3 linked regions of the Oryzias latipes genome follow. The protein of the gene in region 1 purifies or fractionates together with the protein of each later gene. This does not show direct contact. Links are inferred from orthologs where the notes say so. Each region holds a gene or a part of one and is shown in the gene's direction. Other genes may lie near its edges.

Region 1 (3,753 bases):
TTAAAGACCTTTTACCAAATAAAAGGGGTTTTTTTTGTTTGTTTTTTTTCGAACTTTATTGAATGTAACAATTCAATACAAAACAATGTTAAACAGCAACAACGAAAGAACAAGCCAGGGGGTTATTGTTTCATTTTACGCAGATATATTGGAACTGACACACAGACCAAATGTTTTGATGGCTTTCTAATTGTCAGAGTTTCTTATTGTGTTAATGTATTGTTTGAACTCATTGATAAAGTTTGAGAAATGAGGGGTATGATTCGTAACTTTTGATTTATGAATGTGCCATTTGCATAAAAACAACAAAAGGTTAATGATGTACAATTGTTCTTTTTTATGAGATGGACAGTGGGTGAGGCCAAACATAACATTTTCTAAGTACAGGCGAAAGTCACGGTCAATGTGGGCGGAAATGAAATGACAAACTTTAGACCAGAGAGTGGTGGAAAAGAGACATGACCAAAATAAATGTACAACATCTTCAGGGTGTTCTTGACAGAAAGAGCAGGCAACATCAATATTTTCTTTGAACCTTTGCAGATATAGTTTGGATGGATAGAATTTTTGGATCAGTTTGAATGAGATTTCTTTCACTTTATTGGTTAAAAAGTATTTCGCTTTCCAGATCTTTTTCCATTCTAAATGACAAACTAAATTATTCCAAAAAGAAACTACGTAGGGAATGGAAACAACATCCTTCTGGAAGAGTGAGCGTATACGGTGATTTGTGTTACGTGAAGAAGAAAAACAAATTTGGCCTATTTCTATTTTAGTTGAATCAATTGGTAATAAAGTTGGACTCTGCAATGATGAGCTTTTGAATAACATAGTAATAGATTTAAGAATTGCTGTCAAAACAATGTTAAACTCAGTTTTTGGTATTTTGATGGAATAATTGAAGCAGAATTCTTCATGTGACATCAAAGATCCGTTTGAATTAAACAGCTGATGGACCAAAAGGATGTTTTGATTAAACCATGATGGATAAAATAAAGATTTAGGTCTATATGTAATGTCTTTATTGTTCCATATGTCGTATCTATGTGGAAAACAATGGTGTTTGTAAATAAGTGACAAGGAAAGTAACATTTGTTTATGGAAGCAAGAAAGCTTAATTGGGATCTTTTGTACATTATAGTTACAGAATAAAAGAAAGTTTATGCCACCTAATTTGGAGAAAATGTAATTTGGTATGAAATTCCAGATTGAAGTTGGATTCTTAATAAAATGTCTCAAATAAAAGTAAAGCAACTGCAAAGTACGAGTCTAAAAATGCGGAAGCAAGCCCGGATTAGCATCTTGTCACCGACTCGTGGAGCCAATCCGAGCCCACCGTGAAGGCAGCTGAGGGCCGGGGAGCAGCTTAGTCACACAAACACCAGTGACCGCTAGCTCCATGCCAGCCGAGCAGGCAGCAGCCGAGTAGCAGCAGCGGAAACCGTTCACGGGGAAGGAGGAGCGGGAGAGGGCGCGCGCGGGGACCGCCGGAAGGGACTCCAGACATCACCTCCCCTCATTTCCAGTAGAAAGCGAGAGTGGTTTGTCCGTTTCACCGGAGGAAACGCCAAGACCTCCGAATCATCAAGTGGAAGGGAGGTTAGCTAGCCTGCACCGCCGTCGCCGCCGCCATCTCCTCCTCTAAGTCGGAGCGGCCGCCGTGTCTTCCACACCATGGGGAACGCCGCCACAGCCAAGAAGGGCAACGAGCTGGAGAGCGGTGAGTGTGCGCCGGGAGCGGGCCGCCGTGTTCCGCTAGCATCCACCATCAGAGACGCCGGTGACACTTTTTTTACAGCGGCGACGCGCTCGTTTGCTGGAAACCGCTGTAGAGGCGGTGAGGGCCGGCCGCTAACCCGACTTCATTCCTCCGTTATCTGCCATCTCTGCGCGAACCCGTCCCTTCTCATGGCGTGAAAAAAAATGTTGTTGTTTTTTTGCACATTATTGAAATCACAGTATTTAAAGAATTAGTAAGTTGTTGGAAACCCCGAGACTGTGTTGCTGTCTTGCATCCCGGGAGTGGGGAAGAGAGAAGCAGAGAGACGAAGTAAAAAACACGCTGCTAAAAAAAGACGCTCCCGAAAGATATGAATCTTAATGAATACCCAAAATGTTATAATTGAAAGTTTGTGTTGGCTGCTAGTCGGTAACGAAATCTGGAGAGGAGCTAGCTTGCTAACTTTAGCTTTGAAGGGGGGGGATTAGCCCTCATAAGGCCCCTCGTTCCCCCTTGGAAGCTATTTAGGGCCGAGACCGTTAGCCCCGGCGTGCGGTCATTTCCTGTGTCCGGCCTGAGGCCGTTTGGTTGGCCGTGTTTACATTGAAGGCATCATCACCTTCGCGTTGTGTCATCCCGGGCTTCTGTCTCTGCCTGACAGCAGGGGGATGTGGCTTTCGCTGTGCCTTTTGGCTGCGGGCTCACCGCCACCATCATCATCATCATCATCAGCACAGAGCCAGCTGTTGAACAGAAATTTGGATCTCGAATCTCCAGTAAAACTTAACTTTAAATGAAGCCCAAGAGCCGTGACTAATTGGAGTAAACGGGCGTTGCGGTTCACTTTGAAGTCGGTGAGCAACTGCCCCCCCCCCCCCCCCCCCCTCTGGCTTCAGTGCCACGTTTTATTCTTAGGCGCATAAACAAAACATTCCCTCTGTACAGCGCCATGACCAAATATGGTGAAGAAATGACAAATCCCTTCTTTCCATTCATAAAACGGGGGCTTACTACTGCCTTTGTGGCAGATGTGTGCACACGCTTAAGAAGAAGAAAAACAAAAACCCAACACCATCGAACCCCCCCCCCACTTGTGTTTGTGTTGAAGCTCTTCTCTAATCTTGCCGTGGTGAAGGTCCATCAGGGCTCACTTCTCACACTCGGCTTGTCATTGACTGGAGCAGCTTGTCATCGGACCTTCGTCAGAGGATAAGGGGGTATTACAAGCTTTGAAAGGTTTGACGTAACTGGACCTGGGCCAGTGTTACTTTACGCTCATATAGTCTGATGTGTGCAGCTGATCATCATTGAACACCACAGTAGTAAATCAGAACTGTTTCCTCATACCTGGTCGTAAACCGTGAAAGTTGTTGAGATTTATTGTGTTTTCTGATGACCACAAACGTACGAATACGATGGAAAGCACCTCTTCTTTTTCACAGATTTTTTTCTTCTTCTTCATATTTTTGATAAAAGATCAAGGTTTTGCTGTGACTCTGCTTAAAATGCTTGAACCAAGAATCCAACCAGCAGCCTCTCCGGAGACAGAGATGATCAGATTAGTGATGGAATCGGGACTCTTTTTCTTTTAAACGCACCTGTGATCCCCGTATCTTGTGCGGCGGCTAACTGTTAAACCTGTTTTAAGATGACACGGTGCCCTGACTGGCAGATTTGTTTCTAGCGTAGCTGCTCCCGACAAACAACCAGGTAACCTACAGCGCCTGGTGTTTACTGTACACTAAGGTCAGTGGCTGCAACAGTTAGATCATCAGCGCAGTCACGGATGGACAGCAAGGTTTAACTTGTGCCGCCATGACACCGATGGCCTTTCACAGTACCCGTGTTTCTGTGTTTTTCTGGTTTGACAGGAAAAGTAAACAAAACTCATTAAACAATTTACTTTTTCTTTTAACCCAGAAGAACCCAGACCCACTTTTCCTTAAAAATAAAAGACCAAGCGGACCACTGAACATATTTTTTGGTGTGTTTTTCTGTTACACTGATGTCACCCCCCGGTTCCTATAGATGAA
Region 2 (3,753 bases), on another chromosome or scaffold:
AGCGGTCGACTGCAGAAGAATCAACACGCACCCCCAACAACACACGTGCTCCCTCCTCCCAGTCCTACACACGACGCAGCGCGCTCACACAGTCACAGTCAATCTACAACACATATATAATTAGTTCATGAGTTAGATAGTTAGTAGTTAGTTGTTACTGTTATTTGTTAATAAAGAATACTACTTTATAATTGTATTTATTTATCATGCGGCCACCCGGGGATTTTGTGTGGGGGTTTTTTTTGGGGGGGGGGGGGGGGGGGGGGGGCTGCGGTTAATTGCGACACCGCGCCCCCTGGTGGTTCATCACCGTGGTGATCAAAAATCCGACATGTCACAGCTCTACCCGCGAGAGCATAAAAGTTTTTAATTTCTTAAAATAAAAATTGGTGTGTATTTATTCATATCTAGGGGGAATTGGACTTGAAATATCGGATGTGGCAACTATACATTAGGACTTAAACACTGTCTCTATATAACCTAACCTGACAGAACCAAATTTAAAAGATTAATGCTAAAGTAACAAGCAAACACATGTTTCTATGCAACTGTAATTGTCACTTCAAAAAGTTATAATAAATAAACAATGAGTTATTTAACATTAAGGGGTAGTTATTTTTCATTACATTTAGTTACATGTATAAGTTATATCTGGCCCTTTGAAGACAGACACTATGCTGATGTGGCCCTCGGTTAAAATGAGTTTGACACCCCTGGTTTAGAGCATCAAGATAATGTAAGTTGGATTTTTGCTTCACACTTTTTTTATTTTTTACTTTGAAGTCGTAGTTTTTACGCTGCTTTGAAAATTAGACCAGAAGAACCCAAAAGCACCTGTTTCATTGTTGTAATGTGGTTGAAATTTTCTGGAAGGATTTATATAGTTTCAACAAAAAACAGAATCGTAATTCTAATTTAATCCTAATTCAAATCATAATCTTAATTCCATAACATTCACTTTGTTTGTACAAAAAATAAAATAAATAATCCAGTTTATTTTTATAAATGTTTAAAAAAACATTTATTTGTATTTTTATTCATAAATGTCGTTTCTGAAAGAGATGCCACCTTTTTTGTATTTAAAAAAACGATCTCATGTTTTTTTTTATCCATAGAAAAAATACATAAGAAAACTATAAAAATTTTGAATTGTTTATCGGTTTCTCTGGATTAATTTATTTGTTTCTTTTAATTTACTTTTAATAAATTGTTATTTTATTGCTACTCTCAGTTTGGTGTTATATGGCTATTTTGTTTTTAATATTTTCTAGTTTACTACTTGTCAGATGGTATACTGCCTTGTGTTTTGGATTTCAATTTTCCATACGGGAAAAACGAAAAAACCTGTGTGATTTTAATTCGGAATTTTGTCAATTAAAAAACAATAACTTGGCCGGAAGTCACGTGTGTTTACAAACGGTCGCATCCGGTTAGTAGCCCTCCATCTGCATGTGCTAAAACTGAACGTCTATTTGATCGAATTGTGCAGTTTTTTGGCGGCATGGTTCCTACAGGGTAGACAAAAGGCCACCCACACATTAACAGGCATGTTAAAAATATTTATTTAGTTTTATTGGCTAATTGGCAGTCTGTGTTCAGATGTACAAGAAGTTAGCATCACAGTTAGCTAGGTAACTTACATGATGATCCAGTAAGTTTGTTAGCAGATATTCTCTTTCTTCCACATTAACTCATTCAACAGTTGCAAGCTTTATTATTATTTTTTTAATGTTGCTTTTCGTAAAACGTATACATTACCTTTACTCTGGCTCTGTTGTTCTGAGGTAGATCTAGATGTTTGTTACCTCTGTTGTCAATGTGTCATGTTCTCTGGTCGTGTTTTATTTAACCTCACGTTGCAGTTCTCAAAAACTCTCGATTTACTAAATGCATTCAAAGAGTTGTCATATAATTATAAGAAGCAGTTTTCTGTGTATACGTATTGCTGCGGAAACGTCACAGCTTTAAAACCTCCTGTACACTCGTTCCGACATCAGGTAATCCGAAGTTCAGCCTGATTATTTTTTTTTTTTTTATCCTTTTAATCAGTTTCCTTTTTCAGAATGAAATGGTATTTTAGTAACCCAACTATCTACATTCTCTGTTAAAGGTTCGAGCACAGACTGGTCTTTACCTGCACAACATGAAGCCAGCCACCATCTATGGAAGAGAAACCATAGAAGTAGGGTTAGATGAAGATGAGGAAGATGGAGGAGAAAGTCGGGATGGACCTGAGCCTGGAGCGCCTCTGGAGCACAAAATGACCACAGATCAGGTGGAAACAGTGAGCATGGCTGTCAATGAAGTCTCCAAATTGTCAGGTAAGTAGATTATAGACTATGTCATCCTAAAATCTTTTCTTTTTTCAGTCAGCAGCATCGCCTATAGGTAAGATAAAGGCTTCAAAGAGATGTTTTTAAGCAATCTTGCATTTTAATACTTCAATTTTTTGTGCCTACATTGTACTTTTAATGGTAGTTTGGAAAAAAAACCACTATGATGAAAATGGCATTTCGGGTGTTTTTAACATGTTCTTGCAGAATTTTTCTGATGTAGGACATATACTGTATAAAGAAAGTAAGATTAAAATAGCTTTTTAAAGTTTTTCTTTATTCTAATCATTGTGAATCTGGAGCAGATACAAAAATGCTGTTAGAAAAACCTTGTAGGTTTTTGACACATACTACTCCGACGGGCCACAAGCTCCATTCTGATGCATCCACATACAGACAAATAGATCCATGTACGTCTCTATTTTCCTCGTCTGAGCTGGAATCTGGATATAAACTGTTTGGCTGGATAGCTCCAATGTCGCTTGCCATTTTTGTTGCACCACTAATGTTAGGTTGGTGGTGTGAGTGGCTGTAAACCAATGCTGCTCTGCAGAAACTATGTCCTCCAAAATCACACAGGTTGTTTGATTTAGGCTAAAAGTGGCATGATCATAATTAAAAGACCTCTGGTAACGCTTTGAAAATAGATCAAAAGATGATTGAAGTGGGACTTTAAATACTTTTCTACCACCTGATGTCTTTGTTTGCTCTTTAAAGGTCCTCCAGCATCAAGCAAGAAACCCTCAAAGAGTCAAAAGAGGAGGGAAAAGAAGAATCTATTTAGAAAAAAGTTCAAGGCCTCTAATATTTCTGCTGACTTGATGTCAGAACTTCCATTTGCACTTACCAGCCCCACCACATGGAAAGAACTGGGCTGTATGTACACTTTTACTATTTAAATATAACCTATTGGTAGTGGGGTTTTAGCATCTTTGTCTTTTTTCCCGTGGAGTCCCTATCCCAGAGGCAGCAGAGAAAAAGAGAAAGAGAAAAAGGGGCGACCGAGTGGACAGCGAGGAGGACGGAGACGGTAAAAAGAAGAAAAGAGAAGAAAGCAAGCGACCCAACTACTTCCTTTCCATCCCCATCACTAATACTCAGGTAAAAGCTGCACCAATGCCTTATTAAAAACAACCCAAAAACAACCGGTTTTAGAGGACATGAGTTTATTATTTAATTTATCTGACATGTACATCCTCCTTTATTAACCCCTTTAAGTCGTCTGTTGCTCATTTAGAACTTGCCTACAAATCCACGACTGCTTCTAAAATTTAACATCACCAGAAAGAACATGGAAGATTATATTTTTATATAATTAGAAATAAATTCAGGTGCGAATGGGTTAAGGAGTGATCAAAATGAGTCGGAAATTGATGTTTGTGTGCTGACAGATAACCTCAGCTGTTACTGAGGTCCAGGA
Region 3 (3,716 bases), about 22 Mb from region 1:
TTGGAAAACGGAGAACGGCACTTTCTCTTCTGTTCAGATGATTTTGGAGTAAATTAAATGTATTGACATTGAGAATAATTTGAAGCCTTTTTAAGGAGAAGAAAAACATTTCCCAGCATCCGCTGTGCCTTAATATCTTGTATACTATTAAATGTTATTTGAGTGCTTATATTTAGCATCTGTTTACATAAAAAGTGGCACAAACCTGTTGAAGCCAACCTTGAAATATTTGGAGGTGAAGACATATTGATCGAGATTTTATACGGATGATTTGGGATTAAACTTCTTGCTGTAAATTGGAAGATGAAGTACTGTAATGCCTGTGAGATAGAAATAGTAAAACTTTTGAAAATGCCATCTTTTATATTCAATTTGGTGGAATATTTCCTACAAGTATTTGCCTTCATTTCCACAAAAGTGCCTTTATTATTCTTTATACTTTAAACAGTGATATAATGCTAGAATGATGTATTAGTCATTATGATAATCCACTTGAAAAGTTTAACTTTGTTCTGTTAAAGCCTTTGAACAGATCAATTTACTGTACAATAATATCAGTATTAAAGACATTTTCATGCTAAAGGATTTCTGTTTCATTTGGCATAAAAAACTTTTTTTACACTTTCAATTTTTTTTAAACTTTATTTTATCCTCATTTACTTTTTCTTATGGTGTGTGTGTGCTGCTAAGTATTCGAGTTTGAAACTGAAAATACTTGGATTGTGCTGTAATCTGATCAGCTGCGGAGCCGCGAGGAAGCCGCTCAGGCTTGTGCCCGCGCGCTCAACTATTTGTAGCCACATGCTCGCCCTCCGGCTCGCAGAAGTCAGTCAGTCCGCGGTTGACTCCGAAGTGGCAGGGGATCCGGGACTTCCACTTGTCAGATACTCCTCCAGCGTACCCACACCAAGTGCATCACCACCCGCGCTAAAATGTCCAAGTTGGAACAGGTTCTCATCCTCGACCCGCCTTCCGACCTCAAATTTAAAGGTATGTGGAGGGAAAAGACCATCCAGTGTCACATTTTCCCTCTGTGGAAATGACTGGAATGATTTCCGTCAAACATGTTTGGGTACTAGCAGGCTAGCTAGCGTTCACCGCCATTTTAAATTAGCCAGGAAGCGGAGGGCCGCTGGAGCCTCGGACTCTCGTGAAGCGGGTGGCCGGCGTGGCGTCCATGGACGCGGCCTGCTGTTCGTGACCAACACACGGCTGAATAAGCGCCTGGCAGATCATTGGAAAACGTTTGGTCTGTGTTTAGTGGTGGCGCATGGACGCAGACATGAACTTCTCACGCCGCACGTTTGCCAAGACTGTCCAGTTGTTAACTTGGGTGTAATAGTGGAGTAGAGCGGCGGATCAGCGCCGTGCTCTTTCCCGGCCGGGGGGCATGATGGTCCTGCATTCCCCAGCTGCATAGGAGTCGGTGGTGATGTGGCCTTAACTTGGAAATGAAAACAGGCTGACTTTAAGGTGACAGTTGTGGATGAACAGGTTCAGTGACTCGCAGCTGAATGACAAACTTGGCTAACTGCTCCAACCTTCAACGTGTCAGACTGTGAAGCTGCAGTGGCCGGTGCTGGTCCTTTTCCATTCCTTTGGTGGTCAGAGAGCAGAGGGCTCTGCCCTGATGATGATTCTCTTCCTGGTAATGATAAGGATGAAACATGGCAGGAAAGAGTTGGCTAGCGGCCGCCAGGCTAGTCTGCTAATGCCAAACTTGGAGCTAGCATTCATTGGAGTGGGGGAAAATGCTTGTTTTGATTCTAATCCCTGTTTAAACCGATATTCATTCGGACCAACTGTTGCTTTAACAGGGTTTTATTTTCGGAGGATCTAGTCTCAGCAAACTCTCTCTCTGCTATGCAGGTTAAGGTGCTGAAAGCCCACAGCTTGTTTAGGGGGCTGTTTAACTCAAATCATTGCTTTCTTTGGGTTTTCGGCCCCTTTCTGCTTTTCTTGCATTAGTTCTGGTGTTGTCGGTGCTGGAAGCATGGCCTTCTCTTTTGCTGGCTGAAGCCGATGCCTGTCAGTCTGCTGCTATATGACTGAATTTCTCTGGCTCTAACTTCACCAGCTTTTAGAAGACTAACTTTAAAAAGAGCAAAAAAAATGTGCTTGAATCTGTTTTAGCAGCACAACGTTGCACACTTGGTTTAAGAGTGTCTTAGAGTGGTCATTGTATATCACACAGGAGGTGTGATGATAGAAGATCAAATCTACACTCTTAAACCAAAAACACTGATTAGATGCATACTTTGATAGGAAGCTGAGCTTGCAGGCAAACAACATTTTTGTTGGGCAACCTGAGGACTCTAGAAGCACAGAAAGATATTTACTCTAAAGAAATTGTGTGCATTATCCCTTGTGCTATCATGTGGGGTCCAGATGACCCCAACCTTACATTGACGTGTTCTCCCTACCGTGGATAAAGGTGGAAAGATTTCATGTAATCCATGGACACCAGTGAAGATCACAAATCATTGAAGAAAAAAGGTTCAGAGCACTGTCTGGTGGGTCTAGATGACCCAACTCCCAACGTTAAAGTGCCTAGGATAGCACAAGGGTTAAATGGATAAGGAGTATTGTACAGTGAGTTTTTATCCTTTATTTCACAGTTACAGGAGGTTTTAGAGTTAACAAGGCTCGTCCCTTCATAACAACAACATTTTAATGCATATCCCTGGAGATGCAAGTTTGTTTATGCATCCTCGTGCCTGTGCGATCAAAGACGCCAGCAAACAAAAAAAGTGTCCTGGTGGTGCAACACTCAGACATGAAGTCAGTCAGTCTGAACAGGTTATAGAGTTCGTCTTCGGTTCTCAGTGTGGATGTCTGCTCACCTGCAGAAATCACCTAGACTGATGGGAGCATGGATCATGCCAGAGCCAACATGTGCCTCTGTAGTAATAAGAACCTTCAATATACATGTATTTTACCACTGTAGCCAATCATGAGCACACATGGGTTAGACTTTCAGAGATGGAGCTTGATTGCTGCCCCCCTCCCCCACAACAGCACTATAAAAGGGCCTCATAAACAGAGGATCCTGGGTAATGTAGGAACTCCTCTTTTCTGCAGAGTTTGAAATCCGTATTACATTTGTAATTGTTTACTTTTGATCATATGATAATTGAAACTTTAGTTTGACACCTCTTTGATTATTTTACTATGAAATTCCTTCTGTCCAGAGTTTCACATTTTAATGCTTTCAGCATTCACAGTCAGAATTCTGAACTGTTACATTTTTATGGTTCTATATAATAAGATTTATTTCTACCCTCTTTAACTTAGTATGCAGACTAAGAACTGAAAATAAGACATTTACAAATAAATAATAAAATGTGAATAATCCCTTTTATAGTTTTTCTTCTTCTTTTTTTTAAGTAGAAGTTTTCTGGGCAGTTTTTTAATAGTTAACCTGATGTAATCTGTTTTGGTGTGCTGATGTTTAATGCTGTAAAGAAAGCGTGAACAAGGTGCAGTAGTTTGTCAGTAGTTTGTTGCTGTGACTTATAGTAGAAAGGAGAAAAGGCTAGGAAATGTGCTTTTGTTGTGGAAAGATATGAAGCTCAAAAGTAGAGGAATAACTTTTGGAATTTTTTTTTTAGTTGTATCACAAACGAGACAAAGGGTAATGTTGTAGCAACAAGTGAGACTGGGATGTAAGAAAACACTTGTGCAATCTATAAATCCATCTAGTTTTTTTTTTGGGG

The links.
Region 2: the proteins of cAMP-dependent protein kinase catalytic subunit beta (region 1) and akap7 purify together in Homo sapiens (affinity purification with mass spectrometry; 4 studies listed by BioGRID and IntAct, counting the BioPlex papers as one, with this or other methods). This does not show direct contact. The link is inferred for Oryzias latipes from reciprocal best matches to the Homo sapiens genes PRKACB and AKAP7.
Region 3: the proteins of cAMP-dependent protein kinase catalytic subunit beta (region 1) and vapa purify together in Homo sapiens (affinity purification with mass spectrometry; 4 studies listed by BioGRID and IntAct, counting the BioPlex papers as one, with this or other methods). This does not show direct contact. The link is inferred for Oryzias latipes from reciprocal best matches to the Homo sapiens genes PRKACB and VAPA.

The regions. Positions count from the first base shown.
Region 1 is NC_019875.2:26,776,957-26,780,709, reverse strand, and holds the start of cAMP-dependent protein kinase catalytic subunit beta, read left to right. Parts: upstream 1-1,430; 5' UTR 1,431-1,674; coding exon 1,675-1,720; intron 1,721-3,753. UniProt on the Homo sapiens protein: Mediates cAMP-dependent signaling triggered by receptor binding to GPCRs.
Region 2 is NC_019882.2:15,864,225-15,867,977, forward strand, and holds the start of akap7 (A-kinase anchoring protein 7), read left to right. Parts: upstream 1-1,401; 5' UTR 1,402-1,823; coding exon 1,824-1,997; intron 1,998-2,110; coding exon 2,111-2,321; intron 2,322-3,050; coding exon 3,051-3,209; intron 3,210-3,285; coding exon 3,286-3,434; intron 3,435-3,724; coding exon 3,725-3,753. UniProt on the Homo sapiens protein: Probably targets cAMP-dependent protein kinase (PKA) to the cellular membrane or cytoskeletal structures.
Region 3 is NC_019875.2:4,825,196-4,828,911, forward strand, and holds the start of vapa (vesicle-associated membrane protein-associated protein A), read left to right. Parts: upstream 1-828; 5' UTR 829-932; coding exon 933-990; intron 991-3,716. UniProt on the Homo sapiens protein: Endoplasmic reticulum (ER)-anchored protein that mediates the formation of contact sites between the ER and endosomes via interaction with FFAT motif-containing proteins such as STARD3 or WDR44.